2 linked regions of the Sus scrofa genome follow. The protein of the gene in region 2 purifies or fractionates together with the protein of the main gene of each other region. This does not show direct contact. Links are inferred from orthologs where the notes say so. Each region holds a gene or a part of one and is shown on either strand. Other genes may lie near its edges.

Evidence for each region. The genes of interacting proteins can lie anywhere in the genome.
Region 1: the proteins of NRBP1 (region 2) and TSC22D2 purify together in Homo sapiens (affinity purification with mass spectrometry; 5 studies listed by BioGRID and IntAct, with this or other methods). This does not show direct contact. The link is inferred for Sus scrofa from reciprocal best matches to the Homo sapiens genes NRBP1 and TSC22D2.

What each region holds. Positions count from the first base shown.
Region 1 is NC_010455.5:90,639,658-90,643,398, forward strand, and holds the start of TSC22D2 (TSC22 domain family protein 2), read left to right. Parts: upstream 1-837; 5' UTR 838-1,880; coding exon 1,881-3,741. UniProt on the Homo sapiens protein: Reduces the level of nuclear PKM isoform M2 which results in repression of cyclin CCND1 transcription and reduced cell growth.
Region 2 is NC_010445.4:111,722,947-111,726,592, forward strand, and holds part of NRBP1 (nuclear receptor-binding protein), read right to left. Parts: intron 2,468-3,646; coding exon 2,384-2,467; intron 2,206-2,383; coding exon 2,147-2,205; intron 1,996-2,146; coding exon 1,897-1,995; intron 1-1,896. UniProt on the Homo sapiens protein: Required for embryonic development. Plays a role in intestinal epithelial cell fate and proliferation, thereby involved in the architectural development of the intestine potentially via the regulation of Wnt-responsive genes.

The sequences.
Region 1 (3,741 bases), on a different chromosome or scaffold from region 2:
ATCCAAACCATCTAACACTCTGGCTCCTACTAAGAGTTTTAGAATAAACAAAAGAAAGAACTACAACTATTTAACGCAGTAGGTTCTACATTTATGGAGCCCATAAGCTGATTTCATGCTGAAAGTAAAAACAGTCTCAAGATGTTTAAATGAACTCTTCGATGCTGGAATCACAACAAACTCAAGAAAATTAGGAATATGTTGGTAACCTCTAATCTTTTTTTAAACTGACCTCAGCCTGGGCAAGTAACCATCTTCTGATGCCATTGCCTGAGACAGAATTTCTGGCTGAAAGATCCTTTTTCTGACTCAGTCTGGCTTGCTATTCTTGGTTAATCATCCCCATTTCTCTCAACATTTCACTCCTCTGACTATAATAGATAACATTTATTTTCAGGAAAGACTTTTTAGGTGATTCGGTTCCTCCAGCCGCCTCCCTCTTTATTCTAGTTAAATACCCCAACCCCCATTCCCATCACCTTGTTTCACTAAGATTTTGCTAAACATTAGACACAGTAAGCACATGATCTCCAGTCTTCCAGTGTCTTGGAAAAAACTGATATAAAAACATTCGATTGGCGCGGCTGGAAGTTTCTCTAGGCTTGGAATTTTAGAGTTTTTAGTTGTTCAACTCTTAAAGACCGAAAGAGCAAAATATAAAAAAAATTTTTAAATAAAAAACCGCTCCCCTTTCTTAACCTTTAGCCCCGCCCATTGCCCCCCCAGCCTCCACGCGAAACTGCAGGAAACCGGAGGAGGCGGGGCGGTGACGTCACGACGCCGGTGCGTCACGGAACGGCGGCTGCGGCGCTGGCGGTGGCTGCGGCGCGGCGGCATTTTAGTCGGCAGCAGCGGCGGCAGCAGCGGGGCTGCTGCTACTCCCAGCATCCTTGGCGCGGCCATTTCAGCCCCATCTTGGCCGAGGGGAGGGAGCTGCAGCCGTCGCTTCAGCAGTTTGAATTTCAGTTTCTCCAGGACCTGCGAACTGGGCGCACCGAGGAGAAGCCTAAGAAGCTACCGCCGCTACCTCACACAGCTGGAGCGCCGCCGCTCGCCGGCTAGCCGGCCGCCGCCCCTCACTCTCTCAAGAGCCGCGAGGGGAGGCCGAGACCGCCGCCGCCGCCCGCCTGCGGGGGTGGCTCCCCCTGTGTAAGGGGAGGACCGAGCCGGCTTTCTCCTCCCCCGGAGCGGGTTTCCGCCAGAGACGGTCGACATGTCCCTGGGGTTGAGCTCCGGCTAGAGCCGGGGAGGGAGGGCCGCCCGCCCGCGCCGAAGCTCCGCCGCCCGCCCGCGGCGCCTGGCTGAATCAGGAATCCCGGCTCCGGACTCGCCACTCTTTCTCCGTCCACCCTCGGCGTCCGAGAGCTCGGAGCTGACGCCGGCACTGGCTCTAGGAGCCGGAGCGGGGCAGCACCGCCCCTCACGCCGCCGCCGCCGCCGCCGCCTCCTCCCCTTCGCCCTCCCACTCCCACCCCCAGCCAAGGCCTGCTGACCGCGCCGAGCGCCGAGCTGGACTGACCACGGCAGCCCGGAGACAAGAGGAGGAAGCAGCCGGCCCGCCCCTGGAAACGCGCTCTCGCCGCTACTGGGGGTATTGAATTGAGGCGCCGCGGCTGCGGGAGGCGAGAAGGAAGGAGGAGCCGCCGCGCGAGTGAGACCCGGGCAGAGCCGGAGAAACCGACATCGAGAAGGAAACGGGAGGAGGATGTCTCACCGAGCAGCCGGTGCCCAGATCAGCCCGTGACTCGTAACAGCGTCGGGCCTCAGACCCCGGTGCGGACCCGGACTTTGTCTTTGGGGGCCGGTGCTCTGCCCTTCCTGGTTTCCGGCAAGATCGCAGAGGAGCCGCCGTGCCACTCTGCTCTCCAGCCTTCCTCACCATGTCCAAGATGCCGGCCAAGAAGAAGAGCTGCTTCCAGATAACCAGTGTCACCACGGCCCAGGTGGCCACTAGCATCACTGAGGACACTGAGAGCCTGGACGACCCGGACGAGTCACGCACAGAGGACGTCTCCTCCGAGATATTCGACGTTTCTCGGGCCACGGATTACGGGCCCGAGGAAGTCTGCGAGCGCAGCTCCTCCGAAGAGACGCTCAACAATGTTGGGGATGCGGAGACCCCTGGGACCGTCTCCCCCAACCTCCTCCTGGACGGGCAGCTGGCGGCCGCGGCGACCGCTCCCGCTAACGGAGGAGGAGCCCTTTCGACCCGGAGCGTGGCTGGGGTGCTGGCCAGTACCCTGGCATCGGCCGCCACCTCGGCCCACTCTTCGGGGGCCCCCGGCGTGCCCCCTGTCGCAGGCCCCTCCGCCGGGCCGGGGACTGCCGCCCCATCGCAGCCCCCTACCACTTGTAGCTCCCGTTTTCGCGTGATCAAGCTGGACCACGGCAGCGGGGAGCCTTACAGACGCGGCCGATGGACGTGTATGGAATACTATGAGCGGGATTCCGATAGCAGTGTCCTGACTCGGTCCGGAGATTGTATTAGGCACAGCAATACTTTTGACCAGACTGCGGAACGGGACAGCGGCCTGGGCGCCACCGGAGGATCGGTGGTGGTGGTGGTGGCCTCCATGCCTGGGGCGCACGGGCCCGACTCGGGAACTGACAGTTCCTTGACTGCTGTGTCACAGCTACCCCCGTCGGAGAAAATGAGCCAACCCGCCCCGGCCCCGCCGCAGAGTTTTGGCGTTGGGCAGCCGCAGCCGCAGCCGCAGCCGCCGCCCGTAGGTGGGGCTGTCGCTCCAAGCTCGGCTCCGCTGCCGCCGTTCCCGGGAGCCGCTGCCGGGCCGCCGCAGATGATGGCAGCCCCGCCGCCCAGCCAGCCCCAGGGCGCTGGGCACGGAGCCGTGCCCCTGGGGCCCAACGGACAGGGCCTGCCGCTGACGAATGTAACCCTGGCGCAGCCCGGCCTGACCCTGCCTCCGCAGCCCGGCCCGGCGGTCGGCGCTGCTGCCGCGCAGCCGTCCCAGCAGTTCGCATATCCTCAGCCTCATATTCCGCCGGGCCATCTGCTGCCCGTGCAGCCCGCCGGTCAAAGTGAGTACCTGCAGCCCCACGTGGCCGGCCTGCAGCCGCCCAGCCCAGCGCAGCCCTCGACAGCGGGCGCCGGAGCGAGCCCCGCCGCGGCGGCCAGCCTCCCGGTGGGCACCGGCCAGAACGCCGCCTCCTCGAGCGTGCAGCTGATGGGCGCGCCTTCCCTGCCGGGTGAAGCCGTGGCCCCGGGGCCCGGCGCCGTACAGGGCGCAGGGGCCGCGCCGGGTCTACCGGCCACAGTGCCACCGGCTGTAGTGGGAGGCGCGGTGCCCTCAGGCCTGGTTCCCTCCGGGCAGCCGCTGCCAGCGCCTCCGCCGCAGATGGGTGGCAGCGGCACTCCGTCGACCGCACTTGGAGCCCCTCACGCCGTGGTGCCCGGAGTTCCAAACGTGCCTGCAGCCGCTCCGGCTCCCAGCGTGCCTAGTGTGTCTACCACTTCTGTTACTATGCCAAATGTACCGGCGCCCTTGGCCCAGACGCAGCAGCTGAGCAGCCACCCGCCGGTTAGCAGGAGCGGCAGCATCATCCAGCACGTGGGGCTCCCCTTAGCGCCAGGCACCGCCAGTGCACCGACGAGTCTCCCGCAGTCTGATCTAAGCCAGTTTCAGACTCAGACCCAGCCTTTGGTCGGGCAAGTTGACGATACTAGAAGAAAATCAGAATCCCTACCTCAACCACCACTCTCTCTCATTGCTGAAAATAAGC
Region 2 (3,646 bases):
CAATATTCACCATCTTTTGCTACCTTTTCCCAGCTGCACCCGCAGCATATGGAAGTTCCCAGGCCAGGGGATCAAATCCAGGCCATAGCTGCGACCTATGCCACAGCCACGGTAACACCAAATCCTTAATCCACCGTGCTGGACTGGGGACCGAACCCAGGCAGCCTCAGAGACAATGCCAGATCATTAACCCACTGCACCACAGCGGGAACTCCATATTCACCATCTTTTTTATTATTATTATTAAAGTATAGTGGATTTACATTTTTTCATCAAGTTCTGTTGTACAACAGAGAGACCCAGTCACACACATCTCCCTGTGCTGTACAGTAGGATCCTGTTGCCCATCCAACCAAAATATAAGTCTGTATCCCTCAAACCCCCCAAATGCCCAGCCATCCCACTCCCTCCCCTTCCCCCTACCACCCCAAGTCTGCTCTTCTTGCCATGATGTTTTTTGTTTTCTTGTTCGTTATTTTTAGATAGCATCATCTGTTTCATATTTTAGATTCCACAAATAAGTGGTATCATACGGTATGTCTTTTTCTTTCTGGATTCACTTAGAATGAGAGTCTCTAGATCCATCCACGTTGCTACAAATGGCATTAGTTTGTCTTTTTTCACCATCTTTTTATTTCCCAAGTCTACTACCACAATTTCCTTTGACTACTATGTCATTTATTCAATTCACTGTATTTCCTCATGCCTCCTTTAACCCTCGCTTTTCCACCTCCCACAGGTCCCCATGACAATCAACCTGCTTTCCTTCTTTCAATCCTGAAGGCCAATAAGGCCATATACCTGTTCTAGCACTTGAACATCCCACCCTGACACTGAACTAGAAACATATTCCAGACTAGCCTCAAGACTTCCTACTTCGTCTTTCTTCTTTTCTCTCCTGCTCCCTTTTAAGGTATCTAATGAGTTACAAACTAACTTTCTGGTTTGGACCCTCTCCTCCAGATTCTATTTACTGCAGTCGATGTCCTGATTCATAACCCCTACATCCTTCTAATCTTGGCTCATTTATTTCAGGGCACTTTCCCTAACTAAAACTATGTATATCTAAAACCCCAAATGACTGACTTGATTGAATCGGTTGCAAATGCGGCTCAGATCTTGATTGAATTGGTCATAGATGAGGCTCAGATCTGGTGCTGCTGTGGCTGTGGTAGGCCAGGGGCTGCAGCTCCGATTCAACCCCTAGCCTGGGAACCTCCACATGCCACAGGTGTGGCCCTAAACAGACCACAAAAAAAAAAAAAAAAAAAAAAAAAAAAAAAAAAAAAAAAAATCATGATGGTTGTCTAAGAGTGTATGTATACCAATTAATTGCCTGAGATAAGCATCAAATTAGTTTGCCTTCATGTAGACACAGCTGGGTTTAATACACAACCTTTAATCCCAATATTACTTTTTTGTTTTTTTTTTTTAGGGCTGCAACTGCGGCACATGCAAGTTCCTGGGCTAGGCGCTGGATCAGAGCTGCAGCTGCCAGCCACAGCCATGTGGGATCAGAGACGAATCTGCGACCTATGCCTCAGGTCACAGCAACGCCAGATCCTTAACCCACTGAGCAAGGCCAGGGATTGAACCCGCATCCTCGTGGATACTATTCAGGGTCTTAACCCGCTGAGCCACAATGGAAACTCCACAATATTACCCACCTTAAACCCCTAACCTGTGAGAGGGAGAGAGATGGGGAGAGAGATGGGGAGAGAGGGGGAGAGGGTGTATACCAAAAACACCTAGGGCAATGTTCACTGCTTTGCTCGCCCCTTCTGCTGTATGTTCTCTTACTCTTAGAAGAAAGCATACTCCCAGGAGGCAGAAGGAAGAAAAACCTGAAGACATTTCAAAGGCTGTTAAGGAGGAAGTGATCCTAAAGATTCTTACCCTCTGTAAAGGGTCTTCTAGAAGCTGGATGGCACTGCTGATGGCTTCCTGTGGCACATAAGAGGACTCTCCATTGCCCTGAATCTCCAGCACTGCCATCTGCAGTCAGGGAGAATAAAAAGGAAGAGCAGAGACCTAAGATCCTCAGTGCTCCCACAATCACTCCCTCCAGTACCTTGTCAACCCTCCACTTCCCCTTCCACCTTCTCATCTGACCCCTTTCCACTACCCACTCTTTTGGTCTCCTCACCTCCAGTGCACACATGCCAAAGGAGTAGATGTCCACTGCTGTTGTCACATTAGTGACTTCTAGGGAAAACAGACAAGCTCTGGTGAATCAAAGGATCAGGGGATGGCAGAGACATCTTAAAACTTTTTGCATGCCAGTAGAGATGGAGAGAAGTTTCAGTTAGGTTACCTCCGACCCACAGGTCAAGGTGGAAAACCTGGGGGATGGGCACGAGGAGGAGAATCTGGGATGCCTCACCTCCATATTCTGGTGCAAAGAAGTGGAGATTCTTCTGCTCTTCCCGACAAGTCTTCACATGATTGTTGATAGTATCAGGAGCCACTGGGAGTAGGGGAGACACCCACAATCTGACCACCAACCACAAAGCACAGCCTCACTCCAGAAAGAGGCTCCCAAAAGACAAATTCTCTCCTGCAGTCCTAACCCTCAACAGGCACAAGCCTATCCCTTTCCCATCAGGAACTCCAGACAAATGAACACTACCTGCCTCCCCTCTCGCAGCTCTACCACGTCTCATCTAAGGTCCCCAACTCAGTGGCAGCCAAGGCTCCAGGCTAGCTAAACAAACAGATACGTGGCATGGCACCTTTGGGCTGACAAGAACACCACAGTCTAAGGGAAAACTTTCACTTTTGACCTGCTTACCTTCCCCAAAGCCCTGGTGCCTCTAATCCCTGATCACCTGCAAACATTTGGTCTAGGTCTCTCAGCCACCCTGTAAGCATCATGAAAACACAGGCAGCCCTTCCTAATCTGGAACAACTTAGAGACCTCAGAAACTTGGATGACAATGGATAAAAGAAGGATTAACATACAACCAAGTAGACAGCCTCCTTCTTACCCACCTTTGCTGGCCGAAACTCAAAAAAATAGCTCAAAACTGAACCGATACCCTCAAATCGGTTTCGCTTGTAATCCACCAAAATACTTAGACCTCTGCTCTATCCCCTTACTCTTCTACACTGCGTGCCACAGGCTGAAAGAGGAACCAGAGCCAGGCCCAATCTGAACTCACTCAGATCATAAACAACGACTACAAGTCACAGAGAGTCTGGGAGCACAATATGACTTAGGGAACCAGCCTGATGATGAGGGGAGTAAGAATCCAGGACGTAAATGGCCAGCCAGGCAGAATCCACAGGAAACAAGCAGGTTATGGCAGGGCAAGCAGGTAAAGGGCTGGTAGGGTGGAAGCCAAGCAGGCATAATTAGGCGGGGGAAGCAGGGGAACAGGGTTTGCTCCCACGACTGCATGCACTGGGCAGCCGCAAAGGGGAGCAGAGGGAGCACGAACAGCGCCCAAGTGGGGCAGAGGGAGCTCTCACCATTAGCAAAAATCCTATGAAAGACTGTTGGGAACAGAGCAGCCCGTAAGCGGGAGGGAGGAAAACAGAGAAAAGTTGTGAGCGATGGAGCAGCCAAGCCCCAGACAAATGGACACACAAACAACACACAGACACAGCACACAGAAATGTTAAATGCTGCACAAACATACACAGC